2 linked regions of the Callithrix jacchus genome follow. The protein of the gene in region 1 interacts with the protein of each later gene in a pairwise test. Links are inferred from orthologs where the notes say so. Each region holds a gene or a part of one and is shown on either strand. Other genes may lie near its edges.

Region 1 (7,482 bases):
GTCACTGGTAACAGAACACTAGGAAACCTCTGTTTTCACAGGTGGCACCTGGGAGTCTTCAGTGGCTATGGCAGTTGTGTGGATATACACAATCCACTTACTTACCTCAATTCCTATTTCAAATCCCCCACCAAGGCCAGCTATCCCAATGGCTGAGGGTGCAGACCATGCTAATAAAAACAGACAGACAGAAAAGTTACCCCAACATTAACACACCTCCACATGTAAATACAGGAAGGAAAAATGCTAAACTCTAAAGACTGTTTCTATTTAAAATAGTGAGATTCGGTATTTCCCACTATTTTACAGTGTTCTTCAAAAAGAACATGTAATTTTTAAACAGTTAAAAATATTTGAAAAGGATTAGATATTCATTCTGAGTCTCACCGCGTCACTAGCCCACCTCCTCTAATCTCTCTCTACCAACATGCTTAATACCAAACCAACCACTGGTTCTCTAACCATTAACCATACATAAGCACTTGGTATCCTCAACTGTCAATATTTTGATAAAGCAACTTAGCTGTAGCTCTAGTCTTCAGCCAGAATTTTGTCATAGATTTAAGTGATCAGAAGGATTCAATAGTTTATGATCTAACAGTAACATGATTGTTGTTTCCATTGTAAATTTCTGAAGGCAAAACGGTTTTAACACCTCTAATGCTTAAGCACAACAAATTCAAGGTTATTAAAATTCTAACGAGATAAATCACATTTAGAAACTAAGTACAGTAATTCCGTTTGCCATGATATGGCACATTTTAGGATTACTATATGCTTATTTTTCTTGATATAGAAACAGTTAAACAAGTCTAGAAAAATGTATTTTCCTTCTGGTGGGGGGACAGTCTGGCCAAATCACTTTCTGAAAACTTGCTGCCATGCATGCTAGATAATGGAACATCGCTGGAACTTCCAGCACTATCCTATCCAGGCTTAGAGAAGTTTGGGTTACAGAAATTCGTGTCTGATAAACCCTAAGTTATTTTTCATTCCCTATGTCAGGAACTGTCCCTGTGTTAAGATGCCTGGTCTTGGCCAGGATCCTGGGGGAACGTGTTGTGCCTTATTTGGACAGTTTTAAAATTACTCTCAGCAGAGTCAGCAGCTGCAGCTCAGGACGAAGGAAGAGAATTGCAGGTTTTGAAACCAGTAGGAAGGTCGGCTGGGCTCTGAGAGGAGCCCAGGGCTTGGTGTTGACTGTCCCTCCCTCTGGTCAGGAAGTTATCCGGTCAATGGAACAGCTGGGGACCTGAGACACTGGGGACTTTCTCGTAGACTTTGAGTCCCATCTGACAATGGGACCCCTTGAAATGAGCCTCTATTTCGTTCGGTTTTACTGCCGAGAAGTCTGCTCATGGAAATTTGGATAATGCTTGAAAAAAGATAATTGTGTTCTTCCTATTTTCAAAGCTACACACAGCTATGAAAATGGACCCCCATATTAAGGAAGAGATTCTTGTTGACTGTGGGGCAACCTTGGTAAGAAATGGTGAATCCTGGCCGGGCACAGTGGCTCACGCTTATAATCCCAGCACTTTGGGAGGCCGAGGCGGGTGGATCACGAGGTCAGGAGATCGAGACCATCCTAGTCAACAAGGTGAAACCCCCTCTCTACTAAAAATACAAAAAATTAGCTGGGCATGGTGGCGCGTGCCTGTAATCCCAACTACTCGGGAGGCTGAGGCAGGAGAATTGCCTGAACCCAGGAGGTGGAGGTTGCGGTGAGCCGAGATCGCGCCATTGCACTCCAGCCTGGGTAACAACAGTGAAATTCTGTCTCAAAAAAAAAAAAAAAAAAAAGAAAAAAGAAATGGCGAATCCTGGTGACTGATATTTAAAGGCTGTGTTTCACAAACATGTATATTCTATATTTATTCTAAGTGTCCCATGCTCTCTCAAAATATAATAAAGTTATCTATGCTTAAAAAACTGCTACTGGTAGAAAAATGTGTCCACTGAACAGCAAGTGTTAAACTGGTATAAAAAGCATTTTTTTGGTTTTGACACACCTATGTCCACTTTAAATATTACTATAAATGTTGGTACTTGGGATTCATAACAAATATTTTGATTTCATCTCTAAAGAATCAAGTAGTAGATTTCACCCCAGAAAGTAAAACTAGATTATCCTGGCTCTTGATACAATTCTGCCTTGGGGAAAATTCTTCAAATGTCACGGTTTCTATAAACCACCACAGAAACAAAGAAGTTCACACGTGGCCCCTTATTTTCATATCAATTTCCATAAAAAAAAAAAAAAAAGAAAGCAGCCATACCATGAAGTTGAGGGATAAGAATTCATATTAAACAAAAGAAATGCATATACTGCCGTGTTTAAATATTTGCTCCGTGGAAGAATTACAAAACGCATGCAAAACAAAATCGGGTCCACTGCCCAGACTTGTCTAATATTCTGAGGACAGAGAGGGACAGAAGGGCCGGTTCCCGCCCTTGTTCCCGACACCGAACCCGCGCTCGGTCAAGAAGCCCCCATTAGGTAAGTTTCTGCTGCTGTGCAGGGAACCTGCCCCACTCGCTCTGCAACGTGTTCATCCTGGAAGCAGACGGAAGAAAGAACGAGGATTCTCCACTCCCGTGAACAGATAGATGCCCACTTACCTCCGTCCGGAAGGCGCGCCAGCACGATCCCACTGCCTCCTCGGGCGGTCACCAGGAACCCGGCTTTGATCACAGACAGAATCGCAAGGCCTTTCGCCTTCGCAATTACGTGAGCTGTTAACGTGGAAAACAGTGGGAAGGTCAGCATTTTTATCTGGGTGCCGGGATAGACGGGCGTGTTACCCCGAGTCAGCGCGCAGGGGCTCTCCCTAGGAGTTCAGGGCACACAGGGGCAATGAACAAAGGTCACTCACTGAACAGCCGGGCACAAGCCTCTCTATTCCCACGCATGTTTCTGTGTTTGCTATTTCTGCGGCGCTAAACACAACATCTTAAATAGCCCCAAATCCTGCAAAGTATTTGCCCTGCTAATAGACATCAATAAAATATCTTTCAAATATCAAATTTATTAGACAAATTATTTGATAAATAAATTAGATAAATTAGATATTTGAAAGAGATTTTACTGTTATCTATTAGCAGGGCAAATATTTTGGCAATTTCAATTAATTTAGAATATAGTATACAATGTAAAAGATAAAAGTTACTATTTTCAAAGAAATTAAGATCCATACAGTATTAAGGAAAAACTTTAAAAATTACCAAAAAGCCACATGAATTAGAACTTTGATCTTAAAGCCATCTAACTAAATTAACCTTGTATAAATATATACATTTGGATTCAAAAACAGAAAAAAACTTTTTCAATGTTGAAACATTTTTAACATTATAAAATGATCTGTTAGAGCATTCAAGTACCACTTAACTCCTAGTATACTTATAATATGTTCAATTTAAAAATATTGGCTTAGTCACATTTCAGAGACGTTCATTACGTAAATGAGGGTTATTACTATATGTATCCACTGAATGTAGTGCCACACTACTCTGTGAACCTACAACACAATAATACCTCTTTCAAACTAACGAGGGGAGCCTAGCATATGACTTTAAGCTAGTTTAGTTTATTATTATTTGTATCAAATATTCTGCCAAGAAAGTGAAGCCAGACATGGTGCTCTGGCACACAGAGCAAAGGCTTTGCAGATGCCCCGGGAGAACACTAAAATTCTCAGGTAATTATGCCACCATTTCAAGATTTACATTAAGAACAGACCCTTGGAAGTAACGGATCCAAGACCATGAAGTCCGCAGGCAGAACATGTGCGGAGCTGTTCTTAGAAAGTTATGGAGAACAAGGTTGCATCCTGGATGGCTGGCTCCTAAGTGTACTTTCCTTTTCTATTTTAAAAGGTTAGAACTACACTGTAACAAGACTGAAAGCTGTATTATACATCGTGCAGGTTTATATTTACAGCCACCTGTTGGCAGAATGTCTTCCTCACATTCTGTTTTCAACATTGTAGAGTTGCTATTGCTCCTATTGAGAATTAGATATTAGCAAAAGCAGGTTTTAAAATGAATATATTCCACATGTCAATTATATTTGTATAGATTTCCACTCAGATTCAGGGAGCTGAAATACTAATAATCCCTAAATAATCTGCCAGTTCGCTTTTGATTTATAACATAGAATGTCACGATTATAGATTTAATTGCTAAACTAAGCTTCACTTAACTCAGAACCCTAGCATTAGAGGAGGCCAGACACACCACTGGGAGGTCTAAAGACCTAGGTGTCTTGCTTTTTTTTTTTTTTTTAAGGTGGAGAGTTCTATAAATGTTTATTTGTTCTGGTGGAGAGTTCTATAAATGTTTATTTGTTCTGGATCTGAGTTCAAGTCTTGGATATCCTTATTAATTTTCTGTCTCATCGATCTATCTAATATTGATGTTGAAGTGTCCCACTATTACTGTGTGGGAGTCTAGGAAGTCTAAGGTGTCCAGGTGTCTTGTTTAAGTGCTTTGTAGATGCAGCTGATTATCCTGTGATGCAGCATCTCTGTTTTAATGTAGACTCCCAGGTGAGAGAAGTGAGCCTGTATCTCTGCTGGCTGTGGCACTCTCCTCACTGCCACACCCACACCTCGGGCAATCTCTTACTCACGCTACCACGCAAACAGAATGTCATTTTCCGAGCTTCACCCACTGAGAGTGACTCCTTTAGAGTACGGATACTGAAAATCTTACTTTGTCTTGTTGAGTTTTCTTTCAGCTGTAAAGCAGCGCTTCTGAAACTCCTGTGTGTGTGCCTCGCTGGGGCCGTGTGAGCAATGCAGACAGATCTGTGACGTCTGAGCACATTGCTCAGGAGCTCCCAGGGTCTGCCAAGGTGCAGGTTCAGACTGCACCTGGAGTGGCAAGGCTCTACCAAGCACTGTTTTCTCCAGACCGGAGAAGTCACTGGGCCAGTGCAACAATGATTAACGTCATGATTCACATTATTAAAACAGTAACAAATTTTTAAAACATTATTTAAAGCTCTATTAAATAACTTCAGATATCTGGCTTAGAAAAATTAAACTTAGCTCTTTAATTCAGGACTCAGAGTCATGCACTGTGATTAACTAAGCGGGAGGCTGGTCTGTAACACTGTCCAGACCGACTGGGATGAGACAAGTATGCCGTGAACACCCTCTGGAAATAACTAGAAGTGGTGATGAACAGGCCATGGTTTTCAAAGACGCCACCCGGACCAGAGCTTATGTGGTCACTAGTCAGAGAATGACTAGTCATAAGAATTACACAAAAAAACCACATGTCAAACACGCATTCCTCGACACACTACACTAAAAGTCTGATTCCGCAGGTTTGCAGTGCAGTTTAAGAATTCTGTTTCTATGGCCTAGGGGTACCGATGCACATCTGTGTTGGGAATCACTGATTAATGTCTTCTTAAACCACTCGAGAATGTAAATGTCTCATGTGCAAGGAGAAAACACAAAATTAAAATTTATGTATGAGATTAGCTGGTGAGTTTGCGAGGTTAGCTTGCAGAGTTCTTAGCACGCGATGCAAAGGACAGGCGAGGCTGCAGAGAGCTGAAGTGGAGCAGGAACATGTGGTGCTCAGGGCGCTGGAACCCCGGGGTGGGAAGCAGGAGGAAAAGCCTATGTAAAAGGGAGACACAGGGAGGAAAGAGGTCTGGCTGGTTTGCCTGATCTGCAGCTGGCCGTGTCCAGACCCCTTGCACCTGGAGTAACAAGGCTCTGTGAGGACTATTTCCTCATGATGGGAGAAGTGGCAGGAATGCAACAGTAATTAACATCATTATTATATCACTATTAAGATTATGATATCAATAACAAAGTTTCCAAACAGAGCTGAGTCATGTGCTGTGATTATGAGGGAGGCTGGTCTGTAACATTGCCAAAGTGACTTGGCATTTGGATCTCCTTTGCATGAAATGAGTTGTGCTGTGAACACCCCTGGAAGGAACCGGAAGTGGTGATGAAGAGGTCGTGGTTTCCAGAGCAACCCTGGGTCAGCCAAGAGAAAGATGCTGGTGGAACCACCTGTTTCCAGAGCATCCCTGGGTCAGCCATGAGAAAGACACTGGTGGAACCACCTGTTTCCAGAGCATCCCTGGATCAGCCAAGAGAAAGATGCTGGTGGAACCACCTGTTTCCAGAGCATCCCTGGATCAGCCATGAGAAAGACACTGGTGGAACCACCTGTTTCCAGAGCATCCCTGGATCAGCCATGAGAAAGACATTGGTGGAACCACCTGTTTCCAGAGCATCCCTGGATCAGCCAAGAGAAAGATGCTGGTGGAACCACCTGTTTCCAGAGCAACCCTGGGTCAGCCAAGAGAAAGATGCTGGTGAAACCACCTGTTTCCAGAGCATCCCTGGATCAGCCATGAGAAAGACGCTGGTGGAACCACCTGTTTCCAGAGCATCCCTGGATCAGCCATGAGAAAGACACTGGTGGAACCACCTGTTTCCAGAGCATCCCTGGATCAGCCATGAGAAAGACGCTGGTGAAACCACCTGTTGGCACTGATGGAGGCTTCTGCCTGAAATGGAGTGTCGAAGAAGGCAAAAAACAACTTAGGAAAAAAACATTTAGACACAAACAGCACTCATCCTATTTACCTACCAGGAATGATCTTATCAGGTCCATTTCTGGAAGTTATTTCTGTGAATTCTCTTAATATTTTGGCAGCCTTTTTCGCTTCTGATTTCAAATTGGAAGGTATAGGGTTATTCACTGAAAGATGAGAAAAAGGTATTTTAATGAAAAACTCTACTAAATAGAAGTGAGACATTTATTGTCATTTCATTTTTCTCATATACAGCTGTCAGAGGTGTTCAAACCAGAGGGACTCCATCTTGAATGGGAGCTGGGCGAAACAAGGCTGAGACCCACGGGACTGCACTCCCAGGAGTCACAGGCTGAGATGCGAGGTCCACACAAGATACAGGTCAGGAAGACGTTGCTGATAAAACAGCATCTGGCGAAGGAGCCGGCGGCCAAACCCACCGAAATCAGCGTGGCAAGGGGGTCGTCCTCACTGCTCATTTAACATTAATTCTAAGGCGTTAGCTTGCTAACAGACACTCCCACCAGTGCCATGACGGCTTACGAATGCCACGGCAACGTCAGGAAGTTACCCTGTATAGTCTGAAAAGGGGGGGAACCCTAAGTTCCGGGAATTGCCCATCCCTTTTCCAGAAAACTCACGAATAATCCACCCCTTGTTTAGCATGTAATTGACAAACAGCTCTAAGTGTCCTTACTCAAGCAGCCCAGGCCGCGCTCCGCCTACGGAGCACCCTTCTTCCTTCCTTTACTTTCCTGCTGATAAACTTGCGTTCACTTCACGCTATGGACTCGCCCCAAGTTCTTTCCAGCGTGAGTGAGGTCCAAGAACTCCCTCCTGGGGTCTGGATCGGGACCCACTTTCGGCAACTCAGTGAAGCATCAACACAGCATGGCCTACAAAAAAATGAACTG
Region 2 (7,955 bases), on another chromosome or scaffold:
TACTGCACCCTCTACCTCCCAGGATCAAGCAATCCTCCTGTCTCAGCCTCCCGAGTAGCCGGGATTATACACACCAGTCACCATGCCCAGCTAAATTTTTGTATTTTTAGTAGAGACAGGATTTTGCCATGTTGGCCAGGCTAGAATTTTCAGTTTTAAAAGCAGAAACAGTCCTGAGAAACTGGGAAGAGGTGGTCACCCAATCTCGTCTGCCTATTCCCCCCAGCCTCCACTTCTTGCCCTTGGCTAGCACTAACTAGCACTAACACAGTGGCACTAACACGCCAATCTTAATTGTGCAGATAAAATGAAGAATACGAAATCAATAACACAAAGAAAAAAACAAGAAACAAAAATGAAGTTGATCATAAATGCTAGGCTGTATAAATCAACCATGAAATCCTTGAAGCTACTGAGGAAACCCACAATGGAAACTAAGTCTTACATGTTAGTCTGTGGAAATCTCCATGTTTATCTCATGGGTTTTCATCTGATCTACTAAAAAGGACAAATTAGCAAAAGGAACTATTTCTTAGAATGTGTCGAGGGTGTGATTCCTCTCTTAATTACATGGGAGTTTGCAAATTGCATCATCTTTTTGAACCAGCAGCATCAGTATCACCTGGGAATGTTTTAAAAATGAAAATTCTCAGGCCCCATCCCAGTCCAAGTGACCAGATACTGAGCGTGTACAAGGCCTGATATATGTGGCAAAAGTTTGAGAACCACTGGATTAGTGTACCCACATCCTCTCTTCCTTATTTGTGATGGGCATTTGGTGGATTAGTAAGACACTCCAAGAATTCAGGTGTTGTGTTTCATATTACCACCACTCTCATATTGGTGGTAATATGTTCTTTCATATTATCACCACTCTCTGTCAGGTCAGGCAATCATTTGGATACCACCATCAAGAGTAAATATTTCACATCGTACCAAATTTACGACACCTTAGCATCGGTGCATGAAACCCAAACAATGGAATACTTTCTGCTCCTCATTTACTTTCCTATGTCTGCTTATTAATCTCATGAGTCATGAACTGCTACAGAATTAACTGTCGCTGGCCAGGCACAGTGGCTCATGCCTGTAATCCCAGCACTTTGGGAGGCCGAGGTGGGAGGAGTTCAAGACCACCCTGGCCAACATGGTGAAACCCATCTCCACTACAAATACAAAAAATTAGCCAGGCATGGTGGTATGTACTTGTAATCGCAGCTACTCAGGAGACTGAGGCATAAGAATCGCTTGAACCTGGGAGGTGGAGGTTGCAGTGAGCCATGACCATGCCACTATACTTCAGCCTGGGCAACAAAACAAGACTGCCTAAAAAAAAAGAATTAACCTTCACTGAATTGACCTCAGTACTTGATTGCCTATAATTCTGCCAAAAAAATTATTTTAGCATCATGTTGAAGGTATCTTATTACTTTAAAAGCTGGGAAATATAACAAATACATTTTATAAAGAAGGTGAGCACCAGATCAATTATCATCTTTTGTTGTAAGATGAAATTGTGATTAATCAAACCCAATTTTCTTAATATAATTTTAAATATACACACACACTTATTTCCTAAGGATGCCCTACAAAGACTGTCCTGTGCTCAGAACCTGCCTGGGGCTCTTGGCCTTTTAATGAAAAGAACTCATTCCAGATATTTCATAATCTCAAGTCACTACTTGCTTACTGTTGGGTTGATAAAATACAGGATGATTCCACTCATATGATTTTAAAAAGGTAAAACTAAACAATATTTTATAGGGATACATATGTGTAGGGTAAAACTGTACAGAAAAAAAAGGAAATAATCACAAAGGTTAAACAAAAATAGTAACCTCTAGGGAAGAGAGGAGGCTAAATCTGGCAGGGATGGGACTCCATTTCTAAGGAACTGACTATATACTATTTCTTGACTTGAGCATGAGTTACAAGAGTTTTTAAATTTGTAATTTACAAATTTTGTATGTATGTTGTAAAAATAAATAAATGGAATTACACAATCACTCCAAAATTTAGCGGGGAGAAAAGGAAGAGTTCACAGACTACCTTAAGTCCATAAACCCCAGGTTTCTGGTTATCAGGCTATGTGAGACCAAAGAAAAGGAAAATCTTTAGACTGTAAAATGGTAAGGGAAGTATAGAGCATTGAGATCAGAAAAAGCGAAAAACTAAAAAGGTGATGCGAAAAAAACATGAAGCTTCTGTGTCAGTTCATACCCTCTCACTTGGAAGAAAGCAACATCTAACACTGACATAACTAACAAATGCCCAAGCTTGGTAAGGAATGTGTTGGTGTCTGAAAAGCATGTTAAACAAGGTTTAACAAGGGGGAAGTGGAGCTCAGCTTCTAACGAAATATAACTATTAAATAATTTATTCCAAAAGAAATAAATCCAAAAATTACAAATTTAACCCACTTACCCACTCCATAACATCATCGTCCTCACACCCTTTAATGAAAAAAGGGCATATAAATAGTTAGAAAACTACAAACACCAATTACCGAATGCAAAAAGTACACAATGCCATGTCTCAGCAAAATATTATCAAAGAACCTAGAGAAGCCTTTGCCAGCCTTGGGAAACTATGGAACTGGTGAAAACTAATTACAAAATGCCATTTCCACCAGCCTTGGAATAAATGCAAATATTGCAACTAAATGATAAACACACATCTGGACTCCAAAATAGTTCTTCACTGTACAGTCTCTTGTGCAAGTGACGCTTTCTGCTGAAGGTAACAGGAATCCAAGGTGGCCTACCCTATTTAAAACCATTGGTCAATGGTGGTATATCTTTGCAAAGTTTTTTTCATTGTATTCTTGCAAGAAATCTTCACTTATACCCAGCAACTATTCATTATTTCACTAGGTCTGGGTTCACACTGAACAAAACTACCAATTATGCTCAAAACTGGTGTTCATACAGACAGCCAAATGCCTTACTTTGATGAGAAGCTGCAATAATGAGAATGGAGAATTATTTTTATGGTTCCAAGATTCTACCAAGGACATCAAATGGACCATTTCTTCAAAATGTTCTTCGCAAGTTTTCCTTTCATCCTACTTTCTATTTGTTCCGCACAGATACACTATCTTCCCTATTTTTCCAGCTTTCTCTTAGTGGTTAAAGTAGTCACACAGAAAACCTTCTCCACTTCATGGAATATTCGCTCTATTCCACTTCCTAACGAGGCTCTAAGTGAATCGTTCTCTCTCTCACTTCCCTATCTCCCTACTGTTGCCCGTCCCCCTAGGTTTGTTCTTCTCTCTGGCTTTCAGATAACTCGGATTACCCGGTTAGAATCAAAGGCCAAAGAATTTCCTCTCTATTATGTTTGATTGAAAAGCCGCCCGGGAAGAGGGAAGGGGTGTGGATCTATACTTATTCAGTCTTCTACTGCTGCGCCAAACTATTTGATCTGTGCGGCTCTTATGTACCCAAAACACAGTATCATAAAAGTAATTATAGGCCCGGAAATGATTCTCAGCCCAAATGAATGGCCTTTGGGGATGCTACGTTCTGGACTTCTGTTTGTGTAGGGGAGGGTCTCACAAATAACGAAAACAAGTCCTATCGAAAACTGGTGAGCTCAGCGGCTGGAGGAGAAGTGGGGGGGGGGGGGGGGGCGGGTGTCACAGGTCCGAAGTTCAAGGGACGCCGAAACGAGATTTGACTCAGTTACGAGCACGTGCTCTGACCCCGCTGCGGCGGCACAGGCAAACCCCTCGGGAGGGGTCGTGGTCCACTGAGATGGCCACGGGCCTCTGACTCACCCAGAGATAAGTCATCACCCAGGCCACAAGTCCCAAGCCGGCAGCTCCTGGATTTAGTGTGCACGGAAAATCTGGAGTTTCAGCTGCACGACCACTAGCAGTAAGAGACGGGTCTGAATATTACTTGAGGCTCGGCCGGAAAGTGGGGATGGCGATGGAAAGGCCACCCTCCCCGGCTCTGGCCTCGCCTCCGAGAGTTAAAGGTGCTGGTCCCATCCCGGCGCGGGAATGAGCTGCAGCCGTCCGGGGCAGGACCCGCGCGACCCCAGAGCGCGCAGCCCAAGGTCCCCGCCGCCCGGTCCCCCGCGCCCGCGCCTCTCACCTGCGGCCGAGTGGCCCGAGAGCGCACGGCCCCGGGCGCGGCGTTGGCCACCAAGCTCGCGGCGCTCGCGCAGCTCTTCCTCCTCGTCCTCCCGCCGTCGGCCTTCAGCCATGGGCGAGGCGCGGGGCGCAGCCGCTGGATAGCCGGCGAGCTGCGGCCCCGGCGCCCCAGAACTCAGGTCCCGGCGCCCCGGGTCACCACCTTCGGGCCGGGGGGAAGGCGGCTCCCGCAGAGGAGGCGTCGGTGGCAGCTGCGGAAATGGCCACCTCCGCGAACTCCACCTGCAGCCGGCGGGGCAGCGGCCGGGCGCTGGCCGAGCCGATTCCCCGCCTCTTTGTGGCGGCCCGGCGGCCTCTAAATCCCCGGCCTTTCCCACTCCCACTCCGGCTCTCTTCCCCTTTCCTCTTTCCCTTCCCCGCCCCGCAGAGCTCCACCGCGGATCGGGCGGGTTCAGGCCCTGCCTCGCCTCCTCGGGGAGGGGTTACCGGACCCTAAGGCCGCCCCACAACCACACACGCTGGAAACACCCGCTGGACCCAAACAAACGTGTGCAAAATAAATAAAAGGGATAGGAAGAGGACAAAGAGGAGGTGGCCTGGCCTCTTCCTGCCCTTTCACGATATTCTACTGTCAACAGGAAACCCATTTGTTTGACACTTAAACAAAAAGAGGAGGAACCTGACGGGGGCCGCACTGGGAGAGATGGGACAGCAGAGCTGCTGAACTTCGGAACAAACTCGGCTCGGGAGATGGGTCGAGCCTCTGCGATGCACACTTATTTCTTTCCCTCTCTTTTCGCCCTTAAAAATCTAGCCTTGCTGGAGCACAGAGGATTTTTGGGGCAGTGAAGCTACTATGTGTATGATACTGTAATGGTGGATGCATTTGTCGAAGCCCTCAGAATGTACAAACGCAAGAGTGAACGCAAGTGTAAACTATAGACTTTGGGTAATTATGAGGTGTCAGTGTGGGTTCATCAGTTGTAGCAACTGTGGCACTCTGGTGGGGGATTGATAATGGGGGAGGCTATGCATGTGTGGGAGCAACGGGTACATCGGAAATCTCTGAACTTTCAGCTCAATTTTGCTGTGAACCTAAAGCTGCTCTTAAAAATAGTTTATTAAAGGAGGGATAGCATGGGGAGAAATACCAGATAAAGGTGAAGGGTAGGAAGGCAGCAAATCACACTGCCACGTGTGTACCTATGCAACTATCTTGCATGTTCTTCACATGTACCCCCAAACCCAAAATGCAATTAAAAGAAAAAGAAATAGTTTACTAAAAGTTTTTAATAATAAGCCTCACTGTATTCTAGTTCATTTGGGGCTAGGATATGGCTACATCCTAGAAGAACAGGAAGAAAATGTGTTAAGGAGAACCATACGTGATTATTTGTAGAGAGGCAATTAGGGGAAGTGGAGAGAGCACTGGGTCTGGAGTCAGAAACTGTAATTTGAAGCACTTAGCTGTGTGAGCTGCCCCTAAGAACGTTTTTGAAAGCTGGAAAGAACTGCATAACAAAAGTTGTGTGTACCTGTACAATATACATCTTAGGTTCAATAGGTGCACATACATACTTTCACACAGAGAGGAACAGATTCTGAAATTTCACCAAAAGATAACTAAGTAGCAGGCAGAAATATTACCTGAACATGAAACCTTAGGAAATTCCTGAGTGGGATAAGCAGGACTTTATCTTTAGCGTTTTGCTCTATTTCTGAGAGATTGTGAGAGTTCCTAATGTTCAGCAGGTAGGAGAGAAAAAGAACGAGAGAAAAGGGTCACTGAAAATAGAATTGCCTGCCACACCTGAGTGCTGTTTCGTTGCCTTTTCAATAGTAGCTGTGGCTGCCTGAGAAAATCTTTCCACTTTTAAGCAGATAAGAACCACAATCGATTCTGTGAAATTGAGGTCTAATACACAAGTTAAAACTTTATTACTGAATAAATGATTAAATAAGTAGACACTTAGAGAACTGGAAATTAAGCTCACAACAACAAAAAAAGGTTCTGGACCTTTAGGGTTGTTTCAAGTGTTTGGATTCACTTTAAGTGAAAGCTTATTTGTCACTTCCCTTCAAGGATGAATCATTTAGAAACCCCTACCTTGACCAACAAACAGTAAAACTTCATAGAGCCATTGGAGTCCGTCTCTACTATCATTGAGTCTTAATTTGGGATTTTTTTTTTTAGTTGAAGTCTCAGTCTATTACCCAGGCTGTAGTGCAGTGCCATGATCTCAGCTCACTGCAACCTCTGCCTCCCAACAGGAAACCCATTTATACTAAAAAAAAAACACAAAAATTAGCTGGGAATGTGGCATGCGCTGGTAATCTCAGCTACTCGCGAGACTGAGGCAGCAGTGAGCCCAGATTGCGCCACTGCACTCCTAGGATCAAGGGATTCTCCTGCCTCAGCCTCTTGAGTAGCTGGGATTACAGGCACGCACCACTACGCCCAGCTAATTTTTGTATTTTTTTTTAAATTTTTTATTGCATTTTAGGTTTGGGGGTATATGTGCAGAACACGCAAGACAGTTGCATATGTACACACATGGCAGTGTGTTTTGCTTCCTTTCTCCCCTTCACCCACATTTGGCATTTCTCCCCAGGCTATCCCTCCCCACCTCCCCCTCCCGCTGGCCCTCCCCTTTTCCCCCCAATAGACACACCAGTGTTTAATACTCCCCTCCCTGTGTCCATGTGTTCTCATTTTTCATCACCCGCCTATGAGTGAGAATATGCCGTGTTTCATTTTCTGTTGTGTCAGTTTGCTGAGAATGATGTTCTCCAGATTCATCCATGTCCCTACAAACGACACAAACTCGTCATTTCTGATTGCTGCATAATATTTCATAGTGTATATATGCCACATTTTCCCAATCCAGTCTATCATCGATGAGCATTTTGGTTGATTTCAGGTCTTTGCTATTGTAAACAGTGCTGCAATGAACATTCGTGTGCATGTGTCCTTACAGTAGAACGATTTATAGTCCTTTGGATAGATACCCAGTAATGGGATTGCTGGGTCAAATGGAATTTCTATTTCTAAGGCCTTGAGGAATCGCCACACTGTCTTCCACAATGGTTGAACGAATTTACACTCCCACCAACAGTGTAAAAGTGTTCCTATTTCTCCACATCCTCTCCAGCATCTGTTGTCTCCAGATTTTTTAATGATCGCCATTCTAACTGGCGTGAGATGGTATCTCAATGTGGTTTTGATTTGCATCTCTCTGATGACCAGTGACGATGAGCATTTTTTCTTTTTTTTTTTGAGACGGAGTTTTGCTCTTGTTACCCAGGCTGGAGTGCAATGGCACGATCTCGGCTCACCGCAACCTCCGCCTCCTGGGTTCAGGCAACTCTCCTGCCTCAGCCTCCTGAGTAGCTGGGATTACAGGCACGCGCCACCATGCCCAGCTAATTTTTTGTATTTTAGTAGAGACGGGGTTTCACCATGTTGACCAGGTTGGTCTCGATCTCTCAACCTTGTGATCCACCTGCCTACGATGAGCATTTTTTCATATGATTGTTGGCCTCATATATGTCTTCTTTCGTCAAGTGCCTGTTCATATCCTTTGACCAATTTTGAATGGGCTTGTTTGTTTTTTTCCTGTAAATCTGTTTGAGTTCTTTGTAAATTCTGGATATCAGCCCTTTGTCAGATGGGTAAACTGCAAAAATTTTTTCCCATTCTGTTGGTTGCCGATTCACTCTAGTGACTGTTTCTTTTGCCGTGCAGAAGCTGTGGAATTTGATTAGGTCCCATTTGTCTATTTTGGCCTTTGTTGCCAATGCTTTTGGTGTTTTGTTCATGAAGTCCTTGCCTACTCCTATGTCTTGGATGGTTTTG

The links. The genes of interacting proteins can lie anywhere in the genome.
Region 2: the proteins of SH3YL1 (region 1) and SH3D19 interact in binary tests that used the Homo sapiens proteins (3 or more experiments, as listed by UniProt). The link is inferred for Callithrix jacchus from reciprocal best matches to the Homo sapiens genes SH3YL1 and SH3D19.

What each region holds. Positions count from the first base shown.
Region 1 is NC_133515.1:114,735,891-114,743,372, reverse strand, and holds part of SH3YL1 (SH3 domain-containing YSC84-like protein 1), read right to left. Parts: intron 7,465-7,482; 5' UTR 7,267-7,464; coding exon 7,266-7,266; intron 7,116-7,265; exon of another isoform or gene 7,009-7,115; intron 6,736-7,008; coding exon 6,625-6,735; intron 2,747-6,624; exon of another isoform or gene 2,737-2,746; coding exon 2,623-2,736; intron 171-2,622; coding exon 106-170; intron 1-105.
Region 2 is NC_133504.1:45,430,518-45,438,472, reverse strand, and holds the start of SH3D19 (SH3 domain-containing protein 19), read right to left. Parts: upstream 4,525-7,955; 5' UTR 4,213-4,524; coding exon 4,101-4,212; intron 1-4,100. UniProt on the Homo sapiens protein: May play a role in regulating A disintegrin and metalloproteases (ADAMs) in the signaling of EGFR-ligand shedding. May be involved in suppression of Ras-induced cellular transformation and Ras-mediated activation of ELK1.